Caenorhabditis elegans: one gene and its partners. The protein of the gene in region 2 purifies or fractionates together with the protein of the main gene of each other region. This does not show direct contact. Each region holds a gene or a part of one and is shown on either strand. Other genes may lie near its edges.

Evidence for each region. Proteins that work in one complex are often made in the same cells at the same time.
Region 1: the proteins of acdh-3 (region 2) and ubc-7 fractionate together in Caenorhabditis elegans (co-fractionation; one large-scale study listed by BioGRID). This does not show direct contact.
Region 3: the proteins of acdh-3 (region 2) and C34C12.8 fractionate together in Caenorhabditis elegans (co-fractionation; one large-scale study listed by BioGRID). This does not show direct contact.

The regions. Positions count from the first base shown.
Region 1 is NC_003281.10:9,628,093-9,634,112, forward strand, and holds ubc-7 (putative ubiquitin-conjugating enzyme E2 7), read right to left. Parts: upstream 3,076-6,020; 5' UTR 3,072-3,075; coding exon 3,032-3,071; intron 2,977-3,031; coding exon 2,874-2,976; intron 2,829-2,873; coding exon 2,731-2,828; intron 2,684-2,730; coding exon 2,505-2,683; intron 2,458-2,504; coding exon 2,383-2,457; 3' UTR 2,005-2,382; downstream 1-2,004. Other genes in the region: tbg-1 (Tubulin gamma chain), read right to left, coding at 124-386, 435-671, 959-1,062; rpac-19 (putative DNA-directed RNA polymerases I and III subunit RPAC2), read right to left, coding at 1,258-1,444, 1,494-1,597, 1,644-1,787; gei-13 (Gex-3-interacting protein 13), read right to left, coding at 4,764-4,890, 5,253-5,440, 5,493-5,586, 5,643-5,992. UniProt on the Caenorhabditis elegans protein: Catalyzes the covalent attachment of ubiquitin to other proteins.
Region 2 is NC_003279.8:6,462,114-6,468,392, reverse strand, and holds acdh-3 (Short/branched chain specific acyl-CoA dehydrogenase, mitochondrial), read left to right. Parts: upstream 1-2,683; 5' UTR 2,684-2,685; coding exon 2,686-2,937; intron 2,938-2,984; coding exon 2,985-3,525; intron 3,526-3,573; coding exon 3,574-3,719; intron 3,720-3,774; coding exon 3,775-4,095; 3' UTR 4,096-4,196; downstream 4,197-6,279. Other genes in the region: K06A5.2 (DUF389 domain membrane protein), read right to left, coding at 1-43, 89-211; K06A5.3 (Major sperm protein), read right to left, coding at 909-1,035, 1,087-1,190, 1,236-1,310, 1,360-1,416, 1,469-1,543; knl-2 (Kinetochore null protein 2), read right to left, coding at 4,297-4,452, 4,506-4,653, 4,702-5,324, 5,464-5,817, 5,865-5,999, 6,047-6,279.
Region 3 is NC_003281.10:3,457,729-3,463,594, reverse strand, and holds C34C12.8 (GrpE protein homolog, mitochondrial), read right to left. Parts: upstream 3,190-5,866; 5' UTR 3,185-3,189; coding exon 3,135-3,184; intron 3,083-3,134; coding exon 2,979-3,082; intron 2,911-2,978; coding exon 2,669-2,910; intron 2,610-2,668; coding exon 2,394-2,609; intron 2,273-2,393; coding exon 2,171-2,272; 3' UTR 2,005-2,170; downstream 1-2,004. Other genes in the region: pph-6 (Serine/threonine-protein phosphatase 6 catalytic subunit), read right to left, coding at 1,035-1,147, 1,204-1,293, 1,815-1,891; C34C12.2 (Fibronectin type-III domain-containing protein), read right to left, coding at 3,550-3,774, 3,842-4,123, 4,586-5,599. UniProt on the Caenorhabditis elegans protein: Essential component of the PAM complex, a complex required for the translocation of transit peptide-containing proteins from the inner membrane into the mitochondrial matrix in an ATP-dependent manner.

The DNA.
Region 1 (6,020 bases), on a different chromosome or scaffold from region 2:
TCACTTAATGCGAATATATGTGAGCCTTTTAAGGGTACTGTAATTTCAAACGTTCGTTGTTGCGGAATTTTCATAGATTTTTCGATAAATCATTGTCATTTCGTTTTTAATTTATTAACTTACCAGGATTCTCAATAAGTCTTTGCATAGAAAGTACCCAGTTATATGGATGAACAACAACGTCAGTACTGGTGTCACTATTTGCAAAAACACTGTAAGTTTGAATAACTTTCTTCGGAAATGCTTCGCGAAGCCTTTCGAGCAAGAGAGATCCCGTTCCAGATCCAGTTCCTCCAGAAACACTATGAGTAAATAGAATTCCATCCAAATTGTTCGTATTTTCAGCCTCTCGAATGATGATATCCATTATCTTCTCTTGAACTTCTCTTAAATATTATTTATCATTGATTTTCAATTAAAGAAATACAACTCACTGTCCTTGACAATATCCACTTGCCCAATTATTTCCAGCACCACCTCCGTGATCGGACATGAATATATTGTCCGTATTGAAAAGATTCGAAAAGTTTGGAGACTGCATCATTCCGTTGATTACACGAGGTTCTAGATCGACTAGAACTGCTCTTGGCACATAATGATCGTCATCAGCCTGGTAGAACAATAGATCTTTCTTATCATTCATATCGTCTTCGTGAGTTGTTTGTCCACGTCTGAAAACGAAAAAAATTGTTATATTTATCAAAATTATGAGGCTGAATTATGACCTTGAATAAATTGCGTCTTAAATTATTTAACTTAGCAAAAATGTTTGTTTCATCTCAAACAAAAGTAAAATAATTCATATTTTGTTTTCAATCATGTCGATTCACGAGAACAATTCACAATTGCAGCATTTCAGTATTGAAATATAAAAATTGCAATAGTTTTCACATTTCGGACTGTGGTATATCGAATTTTGCCTAATTGAAATTGTCGGTGCCTCAAATTTATTCCCTACTCATTGATTCCATGTTCGTCGACCATCGATTTCCAGAAGGCTTGAGCAAGCTGATTTCCGCACTGTCCAACGTGGACAGTCATCAAGGCACCCGTACCGGACATCTGGAGATTTGGATTGAGAAAATCTTTGATGCAAACAAAAATATGGCATATTTTGAATAAAACATAAAAACGTGAATCACAAATAATTATCTTTGCCAATACAAATTTTTCATTTCAGATTGAAATGGGTGAAGTCAAACAAAAACATCAAAACAACAAAATGGATAACAAATAATGACAAAATGAATAGCAATTTTACGATTGGCTTTGCTCATAAGACTCTTCAAATTTCCCTCTAATCGTGGAAAAAATTTGTTCAACACTTTCGAATGCCTTCGCGAGAACTTCCAGAGCATTAATACCATCCTTTGTCTGCACTCTGAACAAAATCTTGTCTTCCAGAGGATGTGGAACGTTGTAACCACAAAATTCAACTTCATCCCTGAAATTAAACAACAATTACATCTGATCGATTCGTTCGTAAAACATACATTCTGCTCAAAATGTGCTTGATTGAATTTCCAATAGTGTGATCTTCCTCGTACATGATAAGCGTCAAATTAGATGGATCTTGTTCGAAACTTTTTGGGTCCAGCTGTAAAACAGAACATTTTTTTAGAGGAATAGTGTAGAAAACTTACAATTTCCATTTTCTTTTTTGAAGGTACGTTCAAATCTTCTTCGTCGTCCACTTGTGGGGTTTCCTGTGGTTGTTCGTCGACTTCCATTGTTTCTGCTTCTACCTTTTCAGCTTCTTCTACTATCTTTTCATTTTTCTTTCCCATTTCGAGCTGAAAATCACTTTTAATAACTGAAACAGATCAAATTAAAAAAATAATTTTTAAATATTTTCCAAATGAAGCCCCGCCTCTTTTTGCAACGCTCGCACGCAGTTTTTGCAATTGCGAGGCACGCGGAACGGTTTTCGTTATTTTCCGTCTAATGTATTTCGAACGAATGACATATTTATCAGAGATGAAATTGATTGTATTTAGTGAAAAAAAAATTTTATTTTCTCATAAAAGATAAGAAGTAGCATCACGAGGATTGTGAATTCATACCAAACAAATAAACATGTGGTACCGCTCTCAGAAAAAAAACGAGTTGCATAGTTGTAACTATAGTTTGGATGTTAACAAAAGGAAAAGAGCACCACCACTAGACAAAAAAAAATTACGAAGCAAATTCACAGGTTTTGCGTTCAAAAAAATGTTAAGGGGAATAAAAAGTAACGAGTCCAACGCTTATGAGGAAAGAAATTAGAAACACGTGGTGTCAAAAAATGGGGTGAATGAGTAAGAAAAAGAAGATCAAAGTGGATAGTTTCATATGAACGACGAGTTAAATTAATGCTTCTTCTCTGTTGATGCAATGTTCAAATCATTCTTCTTGACTTCTGCGAACACATTGAGCAACTTTCTTTTTGAACTCGGCGTAGTTTTCACGTTGCATTTTCTGAAAAAATTAAAATATTTCGGTTATTTTTCATTGTTTAGACGAACCGCTGCATCAACGTTTGCAGGAGATTCAAAGTTAGGATCCGTGAGCATTGAGATGACAGAAAGAAGGATCGTCTCGACAGTATGCACAGGCAGCCAACGCTCTTCCGGACGTTCGTAACCCCACTTATCATCTCCGGGATCGTGAAGAATCGAGATGCACACGTTACCTTCCTTGTCAACTGAAATATTTTATGTGTAAAATCGACTTGTTTCAGTAAATACTAACTGTTTGGATGCCAAATTTCCGAAATGAACTTCATCTTTGGTGGTTTTTGTGGGTAATCCCTTGGAAAGTCGAGAATAGCCTTGAAGAAACCTCCCTCGCTGCAAGAAAAAACTAATTACAATTTTCACAAACAAACAACTTACTAGAGAGTATCTGGTGGTCCGATCACCAGGACTTCCCATTTGTAGATGTCATTGTCATCGACGAGACCTGCCGAGAATCCGTCGACTGGAACTCTGCGCATGTCTGGAAACAGAAAAAAGTTAGTTTTGATCATAGATCACGTTTAATCCCAACTCACCTGCCAGCTGTTTCTTCAGAAGTAGGGAGGATTGCTCCATCTATCTAGAAATAAATATAGAATTATCGATTAATTTGAATGAAATTAAGCAAAAACGTGGTGTATTTTTCAGGAACACGCACCAATAAATCGATGGTTACGAAATTTCAAAAAATTAAGAAGAGAGTAATTATACTTCTTTTTACGTGGAAAAAATATCGATTGCACATGATTAAACCATTTAAAAATCTTTTGAAAATAAAAAAATAAATTTGAGAAACTAATTCTCGATAAATAGCGGCGACGAAGGTGCCAGTAGCGACTGAACAAGAAAGTGAAAACGTGATTGTCAAAGGCGCACGCATTTTAGAAGTTGGGTCTTGCCACGCTATCTTGAAATGCGCGCTTTTTCAAATTTTAAAAGTTGCAGCGCGAATTTATAGGGTTTAAATACTTATATTTCAAGCCTAGGAATGCAAAAATATGCCTTTAAAATTGAAATAACCGATATTTAGAAATTAAAAAATATAAATGTTTTCCATATTATCCAGACGCGGTATTTTGAGATTTTTGTTTCAAAAGTACGGTACCCGGTCTCGACACGACATAAATATTTTTGTTAAATGTGAAAAGGGCTTCAATGAGTACTGTGATTTGAAATTTTTTTGTTGTTTTTTTCACGATTTTTGTTCATCATCGAAGAATTATGAAAAATCAATGAAAGTTCCGTAGCAACGAGAGTTGAAAAATACAGTACTTTTTAAAGGCGCACATCTTTTCGCAGATAACAAAAATTTATCATGTGGAGATCAGGTACCGTATTTTTGGTACAAAAATCCCAAACTGTCGCGTCTTCGTAATATCCCTGTAATTTTATTGATAAAATCAATTGATTCAAAAGTTTATTCAATTAAAATTTTATTTTCTTCAAAACGAAAATAAAAATTTGAAATATTGTTGTCACACCACGCAAAACGATTGATCGGATGATACAGGATAATTCGAATTTACGAAAAAAAAACTTTTTACATATTACAATGATGGCTCTACTGAAAAAAACCCCCTGAGCAATAGAAAAATGTTCATTTTTTCGGGCGAACATTCGAGGACACACAAAAAATATATATGTTTGAGAACAGACAAAAAAGAACGAAAAAAAAAACGACGAATGATGAATGAAAGATTTGATTAGATTCGAGGGAATGTGTGCCAGTAGAGGGATGACAGCATCCTTCTAATTATTAATAGATCTCGGTGCATGCAGTGAAAGAATTCTTTGAATGATTTCAATAGTGAGACAAAAAAAGTGGAAAGATTGTTTGGGAGGGAGGGGCTTATGAATCGGCGCGAATCGGGAGTCACATTTTTACAAACACGGGTTTTTGAATTCCAGACAATCTTTTAGATGACAATAAAGAAGTGGAATATTTTCAGAAAGGGGGAAAAGTTCACCGACATAAAAGTTAGAAAAGGGGAAGCAATGGCCACGTACAAATCAGGTGTGGGGGTGTGTGTGTGGGGCTATGAGGTATCAGAATGGAGACAGAATCCTATCAGAATATTGCGGCAATGTGAGAAGAAAGTTTGATGAAAGACGTAAAAGACCCAAAAACATGAATGCGAGAATGCATCTACTAAATGGAAAAAAAGAACAACGAATTCAGCTCTAAAACGCGAATAAATGCACATACATAGGTGTAGGAATGGAGAATATTGAGAAAAAAGAAACAGGAGAATCATTTTCTAGAATTGTTTAGTATTGATCCACAAGGCTAGTTGCCAGAATATCAACGTCAGGGATCTCGTATTCTGGAGCAAGGCAATGTACAAACTCGCGGAAGTGAGTATTTGTGAGAAGAGTTTCGTTGTCTGCCCAGAGTCTGAAAAACAATTGATTTATAGTCTGATAAAAGAATATTCTGAAATAGGAAATGGCACTAATATCTTGACAAATATTGCAAATAAATTGTACGGATTCGAACATGTGACAGTTTTCTCAAAACGTGGCAAAAAACTAGTAATTGCCCCTTTTTTTGGCCGTCAATAAAATATTTCAAAAACTTTTGTAAGATGTTTTACTATGATATTTGGTTATTTTGGAACTATGGATGTGGTGTTTAACAATTTCATAACTGATTTGAATTTTTGGAATTGCATTTTTGCTATTGCACTTTTGGAGCAAAACATGCAAAATTTTGCACCTTCACAAGTAGAAATTACCAAAAAAAAAAGTTGCTCTTACCTTGCCAAAGCTTTATCTCTTTCTTGCTTCCGATCATCTTCATTTGAAGAGCACGGTGACTTAGTTTCAGAAGCAATAACACTTCCGTTTAGATCAACAGCAATTGGCTGAGCAGTAGACTGTCCTAGGAAACTTGAGAGCGAGCTGTTTGCAAGAAGGCGTTGGCGGAACTCTTCAAAGTTTGCTGGCTGAAATGATCATAATTTTCAACTATAGGGCTCGAACATTAAAAATACCAACCATAGCTTCCTCCTTCTTCACTTCTTGTCCAGCAATTCCAACAAGAGCAGCAAGTTTGTCAGTGGATGAGAGACCACTGAACATATCATCCTCACTGAAATTATTGAAGTTAAGCTTTTGTTTCAAATAATTGTATTATTAATAACTAACCACTCTTTCTTAATCTTGATTTCTCCATTTTGAATAACATTTGGTGATTGAGATCTTGCGAATGATTGACTAATAATTTGTTGTACTAATTGAGGTGTTTTCGGTGTTGATGGGAAACTTGAAGAGTTTGGAGTTGGTGGTGTTGTCACATTACCTCCACCTCTGATATAATCGATAAGTTCAGTTTTAAATTTATTTCCAGGTCCAAAACATCCTTCTTCTAATCTCATTTCTTCTTCCAATTGAAGAACTTTCTCATAATCATCCTTGTGATGAGCCTTCAAGTGCATTTTCAAGTTTGTAGAGAAAGCGGATCCAGTTCTGAACTCGCAGTTTGTACATCCAACCATCTGAAAAACATACAATATTGCAACTATT
Region 2 (6,279 bases):
GTTCAGGAAGCTGCTCCAACTCACGCCCAAACTGTTGCATCGTCTGAAAGACAAACCCTACGAATGTTCATCATCAGTAGCAACATACAGCAATTGCAATGTCAATACCAGCTTCCGTGGCTAATGCAACGCATCCAGCATTTGCCAAGAGTGCTGGATCAGCTGCTGGTCCTTCTTGTTGTGGTGTTACAGCAGGATCGCTCATCGTCATTTTCAGTGTTTTTTCGTGAATCAACTGATCGAGTGTAGAGAATATCGAGTAATAAAGTTTGAAGGTATTGATTATCGATCAAACGATTTTACACGTATTTCAATTTTTCTGTGTTTTTATGTTCATCACGTTTAAAAGTGGAGTTCGGACAATGATTATTTTATTTTAATATCGCTAAAGAATAACTTTTTAAAATATCGTTAATTTCTCTGTTTGAATTTCCTCAAAATTAAGTTAAAATTAAGTTATACGCTTAGGCCGATGGGCTGCCAAATATTTACAGTGTGAATGGGTTACTGTAGAAACACTTGACGATCAAATTTCGTACGTTGCAGGATAAGTTTATAGTGTAGAATTAAAGCATTATAGTGAATTTATATTCAAATGACGACTTTCGTTTTCTCAAAAGACAGTTACATGGCTCCAAAGTGACCAGAAAAACTTTTGTGGCTAATTATTATTCAAACTTCCGCGCAAGTTTCCTAGGCCGCGCAATCGCGTACTCCTCTCGGACAACTAGATAATTATTTCTCTCAATTTTTCGCGTTTTTGCATGTTTTTTGCTTAATCCGAATCAGCACAATTCAAAGTTTCAGTTTTGCAAATATCAATCTAAACTCTTTTTCAGTTTTGGTTGTGTTCCAAAGTTAAAAAAAAAACAATTCTGTCGCTCAAGTTTATTTTTCAAAAGTAGTTATCAATCCTCGCTTTTAGTCTTCTCTTTCTCATATTTCTTTTCCTTTTTCTCACATTCACTTGATCTTTTGATTGGAACTGATATGCATTGCGTCGGTACAGCCTGCTTCTTTGCTCTCTCCCAGCATCTACAAATTAGCAGTTTAAATAAGATAGATCTAAATTCAGAATCGAAATACCGCCATGCAGACATTCGCTCATTGTGCCACTCTTTTCCAACTAAAGTGTAAATGACATAAAGTGAATCGCCGTCTACTGTGTCAACCAGTTTTTTGATAGTGGCCTGGAAACAAGATTTCATTTGAAACAAATGTTGACTGTTACAAACCGTTGTCTCGTTACCAGGTTTCAGTATATCCGAGCATTCTTCGATTCTAATCCTCTTGTTATTTGTGCATTTTACCTTCAATATTTTTTTTGAAAATAGTTGTAGTATCAGATGAATAACTTACCTTGAACAAAATAGCGCGATTCGAGTGATTTTTCAATGAAAGCTCTTTAGAGTTTATCTGCAAAAGTCTACATGTGCACTGATTGCTTATAGAATCTGGCAAAACGTACGTCGAATGGAATTGGCGACACTTCGAAAGCATGAAAATCGTTTGGAAATCCGGGAAATTCTTTTGAAGCTTCCATGTATACTTTGCGAAATCGAAAATGACTAGAGTGGGTATGACACCCGTGGTATTATTTATACGTGAGAAATTATTTGTTTTGCAGTCCTGAGAAAGGGTGTCAATTCCCGTGTCCCGTTTGTCCCGTTTGTCCCGTTGTCCCGTTTTTGGGGTGTTTTCACGGGAACGGGAATTCCCGTTGTCCCGTTTTTAAAATTTTCACGGGAACGGGAGTTCCCGCTGTCCCGTTTTTGTCATTTTTACGGGAACGGGACGTCTTTTGTCCCGTTTTTGAGCGTTTTCACGGGAACGGGATGTCCCGTTGTCCCGTTTTTTGGGTGTTTTCGCGGGAACGGGAATTCCCGTTGTCCCGTTTTTGTCATTTTCACGGGAACGGGAATTCCCGTTGTCCCGTTTTTGTAATTTTTACGGGACACTGACACCCTTGGTCCTGAGTCGCGACTTCGTCACAAGTGAAACCTTTTCAGCTACCGTATCCAAGAATACGGTAGCTCTTTATTGTTACAATTCACGATTTTCTCTCGACAATTGACACTTGTCTTAAATATCTACACTAATTCATAGTTTTTTAATCAAAGACTATCAGAAAATATTTGATATTACTTAATTGTTTGTTTTTAAAAAATCGGAATAAATTCAATCAAATTCAAAAAATCAGCTTTCAGTTTTTCCTCCTTCCTCTATTTGTTTTAAGAAAAATGATTTTCAGAATTATACGCATTTCTGGCAGATTTTGTGTACAATATCCTTTTGCTTTATTTTTCGCGCCAGTTGTCCATCCTATCCAAACGAGCGCCAGTGTCAGCGTCTGCGCCTCTTCAGTCCGCCCATCCTTCTCGTTTTCTTCCCTATCGCTCTCCGAGTTTTTTTTTCCTTTTTTCAATTTTTTGGCTCTATCGATACATCATTGTTCATTTTAACAGTGTGTATCTACCGAACATCATTTTTCACGAGTCAAGAGTGATCCAGTTGAGTATAAATATCAAAAGAAAAAAAGTGTAGTTTTGATTTTTCAATTTTTTGCGGAGAGTGTAGTTCTCTTTAGATGCATATATTTTAATGTTTTTTCATAAACTTCTTTGAACTAGTTTTCGATCACAGCTCTCCAAATTCGTTCGTTCTTTAATTTGAAGCTTTGCAGGAATGTCTTCCTTGTCTCGGTCTCTTCTCATCAGCCGTTCGGCGGCTCCGGTCGTCGCTACCATGTCTACGAAGCCTCGTGCTCACATCGACGGGCACGTACCATCACCACTGCAACAACTTTCCGAAGAGGAAAGCTCAATTGTTGGAACCGTTCGGCGTTTTGCTGTGAATGTTATCAAGCCGCTTGTTCGTGAAATGGACGATAAGTCTCAAATGCATCAATCTGTAATTACCGGAACTTTTGAAAATGGGGTATATAAAATTAATGGATTTAAACATCTACTAAACTCTATTTTCAGCTGATGGGAATCGAGATTCCAGAAAAGTATGGTGGACCAGGATCATCATTCTTCGACGCTGTTCTCGTCATTGAAGAGCTCGCAAAAGTTGATCCATCTGTTTCTGTATTCGTAGATGTGCAGAACACTTTGGTTGCCCCGTTGATTATTCAGTTGGGAACCGAGGAGCAAAAGCAAAAGTATCTTCCAAAAATTGTGACCGAAGCTATTGGATCATTTGCTCTTTCCGAGACCGGATCTGGATCTGATGCATTTGCATTGAAGACAACTGCAAAGAAAGATGGAGATGACTTTGTGATCTCTGGATCAAAGATGTGGATTACCAATGCTGGGCATGCTCAGTTCTTTTTAGTTTTCGCAAATGCTGATTCAGCCAAAGGATACAAGGGAATCACGTGTTTCCTGGTTGACAGAAATCAAGAAGGAGTATCTGTTGGAAAGAAGGAAGACAAGCTCGGAATCCGTGCATCTTCTACATGCTCCGTTCATTTTGACAACGTTCGGGTCCACAAGTCGTCAATTCTGGGAGAATATGGAAAAGGTGAAGCTTGTTTTTGAGAAATCAAAAATAACTTTCTAATTATTATAGGATACAAATATGCGATCGAGTGCCTGAATGCTGGACGTATCGGAATCGGAGCACAAATGTTAGGATTGGCTCAAGGCTGTTTCGATCAAACAATTCCATATCTTCAACAAAGAGAACAGTTCGGGCAGAGACTTATAGATTTCCAGGTATTATTTGTCAAAAGACTGAAATTAAAATATTGTAATTATCAAAAATTTTCAGGGAATGCAACACCAAATCGGACAAACACGAATGGAAATTGAAGCTGCTCGTCTTCTGGTCTACAACGCTGCTCGCATGAAGCAGAATGGACTTCCATTCGTTCGTGAAGCAGCCATGGCCAAATTGTTTGCATCACAAGTTGCCACTACAGCCACTTCGAAATGTGTGGAATGGCTTGGAGGAGTTGGATTCACCAAGGAATTCCCAGTTGAAAAATTCTACCGCGACTCAAAAATTGGAACAATTTACGAAGGAACGTCCAACATTCAGCTCAATACCATTGCCAAGCTCGTTGACATCGAATATCAACAAAAGGCTTAATTGATTATAATAATCATCTCCTACGGCGTTTTCAGTAGTGAACAATCGAACGTATTTATTTCTATTCGTTTATATTTTTCAGAATGAACAATTTGCAACTTAGTATCGAGTTAATATTTTACCAAACTAGTATAAAAAGGAAAAATTCATCATTTACAGTTATAAAGAATAAGTGCAGTAGAATAATTCCATGCACAGAGATTAGTAGATGGATGTGTCTTCTTCACGCATATCATCATCGTCATCATTGTCTTCATTTTCGTCGTCTTCGTGTATTGTTGTTCCACGATTAATAATTTTCAACGCCTTCTGAGTTCCCTTTTCTAACGAAATACTTGTATTCTTGTTACCACGATACTGCAAGATATTTAGTTGCTTGCATGAAATTTCCCAATCTTTTTTAAACCTACCGTAGAGTTGTTCATAGATGAGGACTTTTTCAGTCTGGAACTAGGTCTCGCTTGCATCATGGAAAGGTGCTGAACGTATTTGAAGTTCGTTTCAATATCCTTTGCCTTCGTTTGTTCTAGACGCGGTGAATTGAATGTGGAATTGTTTCTGAAAAATTAATGCTTTTTTAAAACTAATTATTTTGTATAAATTTACCCTCTGCTCATTGGAGAGTCTTCAACAGGTTTTGGCATAATTGAAGCTCTTGTTCCTCCTCTCTTCTTTGTAACTATTGGTGTTCTGAGAGCGAGCAATGATTGATCAGCAGCCACATCTTCTGGTTGATAGTCTTCCATTGACTCAACTCCACTTTGCAGATCTTCAGCTCTATGATTTCCACCTTCTCTCAGTTCCTCATGCATCTTTACATTTTCCTTCACTCTGGCCACAGCTCCACGTCTTCTTTTCTGTTCAACTTCTTCGACTTGTTTCAACACTTCTTCATTTTGCTCTGGTTCTACCCATTTGAGTCTTGTGATAGCAATCTGTCTGACTACTTCTGGTTCAACGACACCTTCCTTTGCCAAGAGGCGTAAAACTTCTGTCCAATCTGCATCACTTGCAGAAGGCTTCTTCAACGCAATCACACGTTTCAAACGATCCAGATCTTGTTTTCTCCATGTAATTTTCTTTGCAACTGGAGTTACACAAGAACGACGAGGACGATTACATGCTATACTATCATTGAGATCACGGTTATCTTCCAAAGATGCTCTCTTCTTTTTGCGAGCTTGGGCTGGTGACTTAGTTGAATTAGCCGGTTTTGAGCGCGTGGCCTGCTGAAAGCTATATGATATTTTCTTGCGACGAGGACGTAATACAGGAGGCATCTTGACTAATAGCAAATTAGAAAATGAATATTATTTGTCAGGTTTTTTTCACGGTCGTTTAACCAAATAAATAATTAAAACCACTCACCTTTTTCACAAATTTATCCTTTCTCGCATTGCTTCTCTTTGGTATTCCGTCTCCAAACATCATTGAATTATCCAGAAGCTCTTGGTTTTCTATGTCCCATTCATTTAAAGACTCTTCAGCATCGGACGAATTAGATCTATGACGATATGATGAAGATGACGCCTTTTGTGATTTTTGAAGACGATTCCGTAATTCTTTCTCACGACGTACAATCGCATTCAATTTTTCTTCGTCCTCGCCACTTCTGGAGTTTGCATGATTTCGCCGTCTGCCATAGTCATTGTAATCACGAGGTCCTCTAGGATCTCTGTATTCATCACCATGTCTACGATGTTCTTCTTCGAAACGAACAGACTGAAATTATTGAATGTCCTCAAAACGTCATATATTCTTTTACTTACTCTTCCAGAAGAAGAAGACGCGTCTCTTCCACGGTATCGTTTCGAGTCACCTTGGATATCAGCATCATAATAATCTCTACGCCTCGCACCATCGTCATGACGGCGACTGTACTCGAAATCATCACGCACGATGCTCTGTAATAATTTTAAAACCAATGACAAATTAACTGATTAATACGAACTCTTTTTCTACTCATTCTTGATTCATCTTCGTGTCTGCGATATGTGGCGTTATGTCTGCTCCATCTACTGTTATCATGTTCGTATCTCTGAGAGTATCGAGATTGTTCATAACCGTCTCTAGATGAAGAACGATGGCGTGGTTCTGGTGATGGTGATGATACATTCCGCCTTCCTGGTTTTCGTACCCGTCCTGGGGTGCTTTCAAAATGAAAAGTATCAAGAACAGAGTCAA
Region 3 (5,866 bases), on a different chromosome or scaffold from region 2:
ATTTACGAAAAAAAGTTTTTTTTTCGAAATTTTAAGCTTTCTGGATTAAAAATATCGATTTTTTGACTTTTTTTTCAAGAAAATCGTATAAAAACTGTTTTTTAAAGGATTTTCGCATGAAAAAAAGTGATTTTTTCTAGATTTATACCGATTTTTCGGTGAAATATTCTAAATTTAGATGAAAAATCGTTTCGTGTCGATTTACGCAGCCCGTGTACTCCCCGAGGAGAAGAATTTTAGAGTTTTTTTGCTGAAATTATTGATTTTCGACGATTTTTCAAATTAATAAATTTAAACGATTGTTTTTTTTTCAGAAAAACTTGAAAAAATTATAAATTTTCAAATTTTGCACCCTTTTTCCACAAAAAACACTCAAAATTGCCAAAATATTTGAATTTTTCACATAAAACGTCGCCAAAACTTCTTCTTCCGTCGAAAAATCGAAAATTAGCTGTAAAAATGAATTTTTCGAGTTTTTTTCATGTTTGAAAACAGAAAAAAAACCGTATGGCCTCTTCCACGGCCCTGTGTCGATTTACGCAGCTGTGTTCTCCACGAGGAGAAGTGTATCACAATTTTCCGGCTAAAATGCTTGATTTTTAATTATTTTTTCGCGATCTTGTTGTAAAAAACACTTAAATCGCCATTTCTAGGCGAAAATCTAGGTTTCTATTGTTGAAAATATGAAAATTCTTCGTTTTTAGCAGTAGTAAAATACTTTTCCATCTGAAAAAGGCAATTTTAATGTTAAAAAAGCGAAAAATGGCCCGAAAACAGTGAAATTCTCCTCCTCGAGGAGTACACGAGCTGCGTAAATCGACACATTATCGATTTTTTCGATTTTCCGGCAAATTTTCGAATTTTTCATTCAACTTTTGAATTTTTCATTCAATTTACGAATTTTTTTATCCAATTTCTCGATTTTTTTTTGGCTAATTTTCCGATTTTCCCGGAAAGTTTCTCGATTTTTCGGCTGATTTTTTGAATTTTTCATCCAATTTTGTGACATTTCCAATTCGAATCCGATTCCGTACCAGTTTTGAATAATTCGAGTAAATCATAAAATTGTCCATGAATATCTCCACAAATTGTGACAGGCGACGAAACGGGCACCACATTGGCTTCCAGTGATAGACGATCGATTAATCTGAAAAAATGTTCAGTTTTTGAGCCGAAAATTGCTGAAAATTGCTTTTTTCTTACGTTGCACAAAGAGCAACAGCGTCAGATTCGGGCAAGTATTTGCATTCGCTCGCCCACGTAATCCATTGCTCCGGCTCTATTTTTCGAGATCTGGAAATGAAAAAAATTAAGTTTTGTATAATTTTGGAGCTGAAATTTAAGTTTTTTTTTAGAAATTTGCAAAAAAATTCGAAATTTTTCGCAGAATTTTTCAATTTTGAGTAAAAAAAATCAATTTCCAAGCTCAAATCGCCTAATGTAGATTTACGCAGCTCGTGTACTCCCCGAGGAGAAAAATACTAGTTTTCGACTAAAATGCTAGATTTTACATTTTCGCTGTTTTTTAAAAGTTTAACGTTCAAATCGCCGATTTTTCGCTTTTTTGGTAATTTTTATGCTGAAATTCAGCATTTTTAATATGGAAAACTGCTGGAAACGATGATTTGTAGTCGATTTTCATTTAAAATAATTAAAATGACAATTTTAATGTTAAATTGGTCAAAAATTGAGCATTTTCTCCAAAAACTATAAAAATCTTCTCCTCGAGGAGTACACGAGCTGCGTAAATCGACACAAAGCGATTTGTGCTTGGAAAATCGCATTTTTCGCTTGAAATATCCAAAATTTGGTACCCAATAAAATGCGTTGTGCTCTTTTCGAGCTCTCCTTCATCGCACACTGTCACCCGAAGAAGGTTTGTGTCGATCATTCTGAAAATTTTACGGTTTTAAATGAAAAAGAAGCTTTTTTCCTGTTTAAAATTAAAAAATATATGAAAAATGGCTGAAAACCTATCGAAAAAGTGGAAAAAAGGGAATTGAAACTCAAAAATTGTTCATTCGAATCCTATAAAACGGCGGGAAAAAGTGATTGGAGTGTGATGAAATAACGGAAAAAACAGAAAAACAATAAAAATTACTAGCTATTCAAAAAAAAACTACAAAAAACCGGAAAAACATTAAAAAACCAGAGGAAAATTAAAAGAAAATTATTTAGAGACGACTCCAACTTGAGCAGGCCGAATTGGACGTTCTTTCAGGCTGTAGCCGATCTTTGTACACACTTCGATATGTCCGACAGGTTGTTTGGCCTGAAAATGGAGGAAATTAAGCATTTTGTGGCATTTAAAAAGGATTAAATAAGCCCAAATTGTTCAAAAAATACAAGATTTGGCTCTTTTATTTCGGAAAATTCGGGCGGTTAGCACTAACATTAGCAGATGGAATCTGGAAAACGGCTTCGTGGAGATTGGGGTCGAACTTTTCATTGGTTGGATCCACGGTCACAAGGCCATGCTTTGCGAATGTCTTTGCCATGACAGTACGGGTCATTGAAACTCCTTCGAAAAGATCTTTCAGAGCTTTTCCTCCCGATTCCAGATCTTCTGGCTTCACAGACTTGACGGCAATGTCGAGAATATCGGAGACCTGCAAATTTGGAATTATTTTAATTGTTTTTCGGTTGATTTTGATTTTAAAAATCGAACCTCAAGTAAATCTTTGCAGAATGATTGGATTGCAAAAACCTTAGCATCGTCGGTTTGCTTGATACCTCGCCGACGAACATTTTCAGTTTCAGCAAGCGATCTTTGATATTTATCCTTAAAATCCAAGCTTTCGGCCTGCAAATCGTCGTATTCCTTGAGAAGAACATCAAAAGCACCCTTTGGAATCTGTGTCTTGTCCTCGCCGGCAATCGAAGTAAGAACAATTTCTTCATAGTCGGCTCCTGGTTTTTTTTTAAATATTATATCAGTTTTTAGAATTTAGAATTTGTTTTAGAGTAAAAATCGCTACCTCTGAGTCTCTTTCCGTCTTTTCTAATCTCATAATTGACTTCTTCCGATGATTGTGATGCCGTGGCGCTGAATCTTTGAATGCGCAAGTTTTTCTGAGTTTTCCTGCAATGAAAAAATTTGATTTTCACCGTTATTCAAAATTCAAGGAACTTACAGCGTTTGTTGAACAGCCTGGCCGACGAAAGACACTCCTTTGCGCAGCATATTGTCTGAAATTGCCAAAATTTGAAGAAATTAGGAATAAAAAACGAAAAATCGGCGGAAATTGGTAAAAAACGAAGAAAAAATTAATAAATTTCATCATGACAAGAAATGCGCCAGCACATGACTCAAGTGCGCCAGTAACGTGCTGGCGTGATTTTCGTGCGTGTCTGCGTCTCCATGCTTTGCACACTCTTTTCGAGGAGTTTTTAAGCGGCAATTTAAAGTGGAAAAGGGCAAACTGTAGCAGTTTTTTCTTAACTTTTTCTGCAAAAATCTGTGTATTTCCGCAAAAAAACACAGCAAATCCAACAAAAAATTTATTATCAATGCTCTAAAAGCCTTAAACACAAAAAAACCAAGATTTGTCACTTCTTATGTTCGCGTTCTCCATCAAAATCTGGTCGCTTCGGTACAAATCGATATTTGACAATTTTCGAATCATCTTTTCCATCAGTCACAGGTTCCAGGTGAGCTTTCGCGAAATGCGGTGATGTGACTGGAAATCTGGAGCATCCTCTGAACGTGACGCTTTCTCTGGATTTCACGTAACTCGGCGCATGTCGGCGCTGACCTTTCCATTCTGGGGGACGCTGAAAAAAAAGTATGTATTATTGCAAGTGCGCTCCAGTAAACTGAGCGATTCCGGCTGTCACTCACTCTTAAGGCATTCAAAGCACCCGGACTTGGAATTGCATATCGAGCTGGCTGGGCTATTGGTTTTGGCACATATCTCGGAGCACTTGTGCTGGTAGATCCACTGGAAGAGCTGCTGATTGGCTCAACACGAGATCTGTAAAGAGTTGAGGAGATATCCGGCATGTCAAAATGATCTGATTTCTTCGAATTTTCGGGCGGTGCAGAGCTTCCGGTGGTTGAAGAACTACTTTGAACTTCTTTTGAATCAAATATATTGTGAAGTGCTGTGGCAATGTCGGGCATCTGCAATAATTTTCCATTTTTGCCAGTTTCATATTCAAATTACCGCCAAGAGACTTTGTTCAATAGAGCGCGCTTGCATTATTTTAATTTTTGTTTTTTTTTTCTCATCAATTCTCTGAACTTCTTCATTTTTTGTGAATTTTCACTGAAAATTTGAATGAAAAGTCAAGATAAATGCAAATTGTTCATTAGCTTTTCAAATTTTCAGTAAAAATACACAAAACATGAAGGAATTCAGTGAAATAATTAGGACAAAAAAACAAAAACAAAAAATAATGCAAGCGCGCCCCATCGAACAAATCGTCTTGGCGGATTTTTTCATTTTCAAAAGTTTTTTATTGAAAAAACCTTAAAATTTGACTTTTTTTTCCTGAAAAATTGAAAAAATCGATACTGACAGATTGGCAAAATTTCGCGGAATTTTAAGTAAATTTTTTAGCAATTTTTTTCGTTATAACTAACAGGAGATTTCTGGCTTCCGAGAGCTCCATTATCTTTCTTTTCTGACTCAAATCCTCCAATTGTACTCGAAGAACTATTCATTTCGTCCGATTCCACCACCACGTGAGATTTGTAAGGCGTTGAGGAAATATCCGGCATGTCAAAATGGGCTGATTTCTTCGAATTTTCAGGAGTTGCAGAGCTTCCAGTCTTCAAAAACGAGCTCATTCCTTCTGACTGAGCTTTGTAAGAGGCTGAGGTGAAGCCTTCTGGCTTGATATAGCGAAATTCTGGTCTCTTAATATATCCTGGAATAAGCTTCAAGTTCCTGGAGTTACTTTCCGAGCTAAAATTGAATGGTTTTCCTGAATTCACCACATATCTAACTTCTCCAGTGTTCAGCTGATCCGAAATTTGTGTTCGGCCTGGAGGGCCTGGAGATGCTGTGATGGGCTTTCTGGAGCTGCTGCTGGTGCTTTCAAAATAGAACGGCTTCCCATAGCACGCAGAACTTGTGCTGGGCTGATCAGGCTTCAGATATTTCGCTAGAGGACTTCCGAAGTCACTTGAATCTTCCCCATCCTGGGTTCTGTCAGACATCAATGAAATATCCTCTGGATTTATCAGCTTTACATCAGGCTTCTTCCTTGGTGTAGGCTTTTTGATGCCGACTTTTTTTTCGATTTTATCAATTTTCCATTTCACTTCCGACACGTCTTTCCGACTTTTCTGCAGCTCTTTCTTGAATAAATCTGCGAATTTCCACGAATTTCGAACTTGAATCGATTGGTTTGAAATTTGTGATTCTTTAGCTTTGTTCTCCTTCATTAGTTTAACATTTTCTTTTTGAATATTCACAAATTCCACTGAAAACACTTTAATCTCATCCTCTCGCATTGTCAATTTCTCCGTTAACGCAGCTTTTTCTTTTTCCAATCGTTCAATTGTTCGTTGTAGATGTACAATAAATTGGGTTTGATCACCACGAGAAGATGGATTTAGAGTGATTGAATTCGATGTTGATGGCGTGTTTTTCTGAAATTTAGAGAAAAATTGAAAAAAAATTATGGAAAATTTAGTTTTTTCATGATTTTGAATTATCGGCGAATTGCCGGAATTGAAAATTTCAGGCAAATCAGCAAATTGCCGGAGTTTAAAATTTCCGGCAAATTGGCAAATTGCCGGGATAGAATTTACCGGCAAATTTCGGGCAAATCGTCAGATTATCAGGAATTGTAATTCCCGGCAAATCGGTAATTTGCCGGAATTGAACATTTCTGGCAAATCGGCAAATTGCCGGAA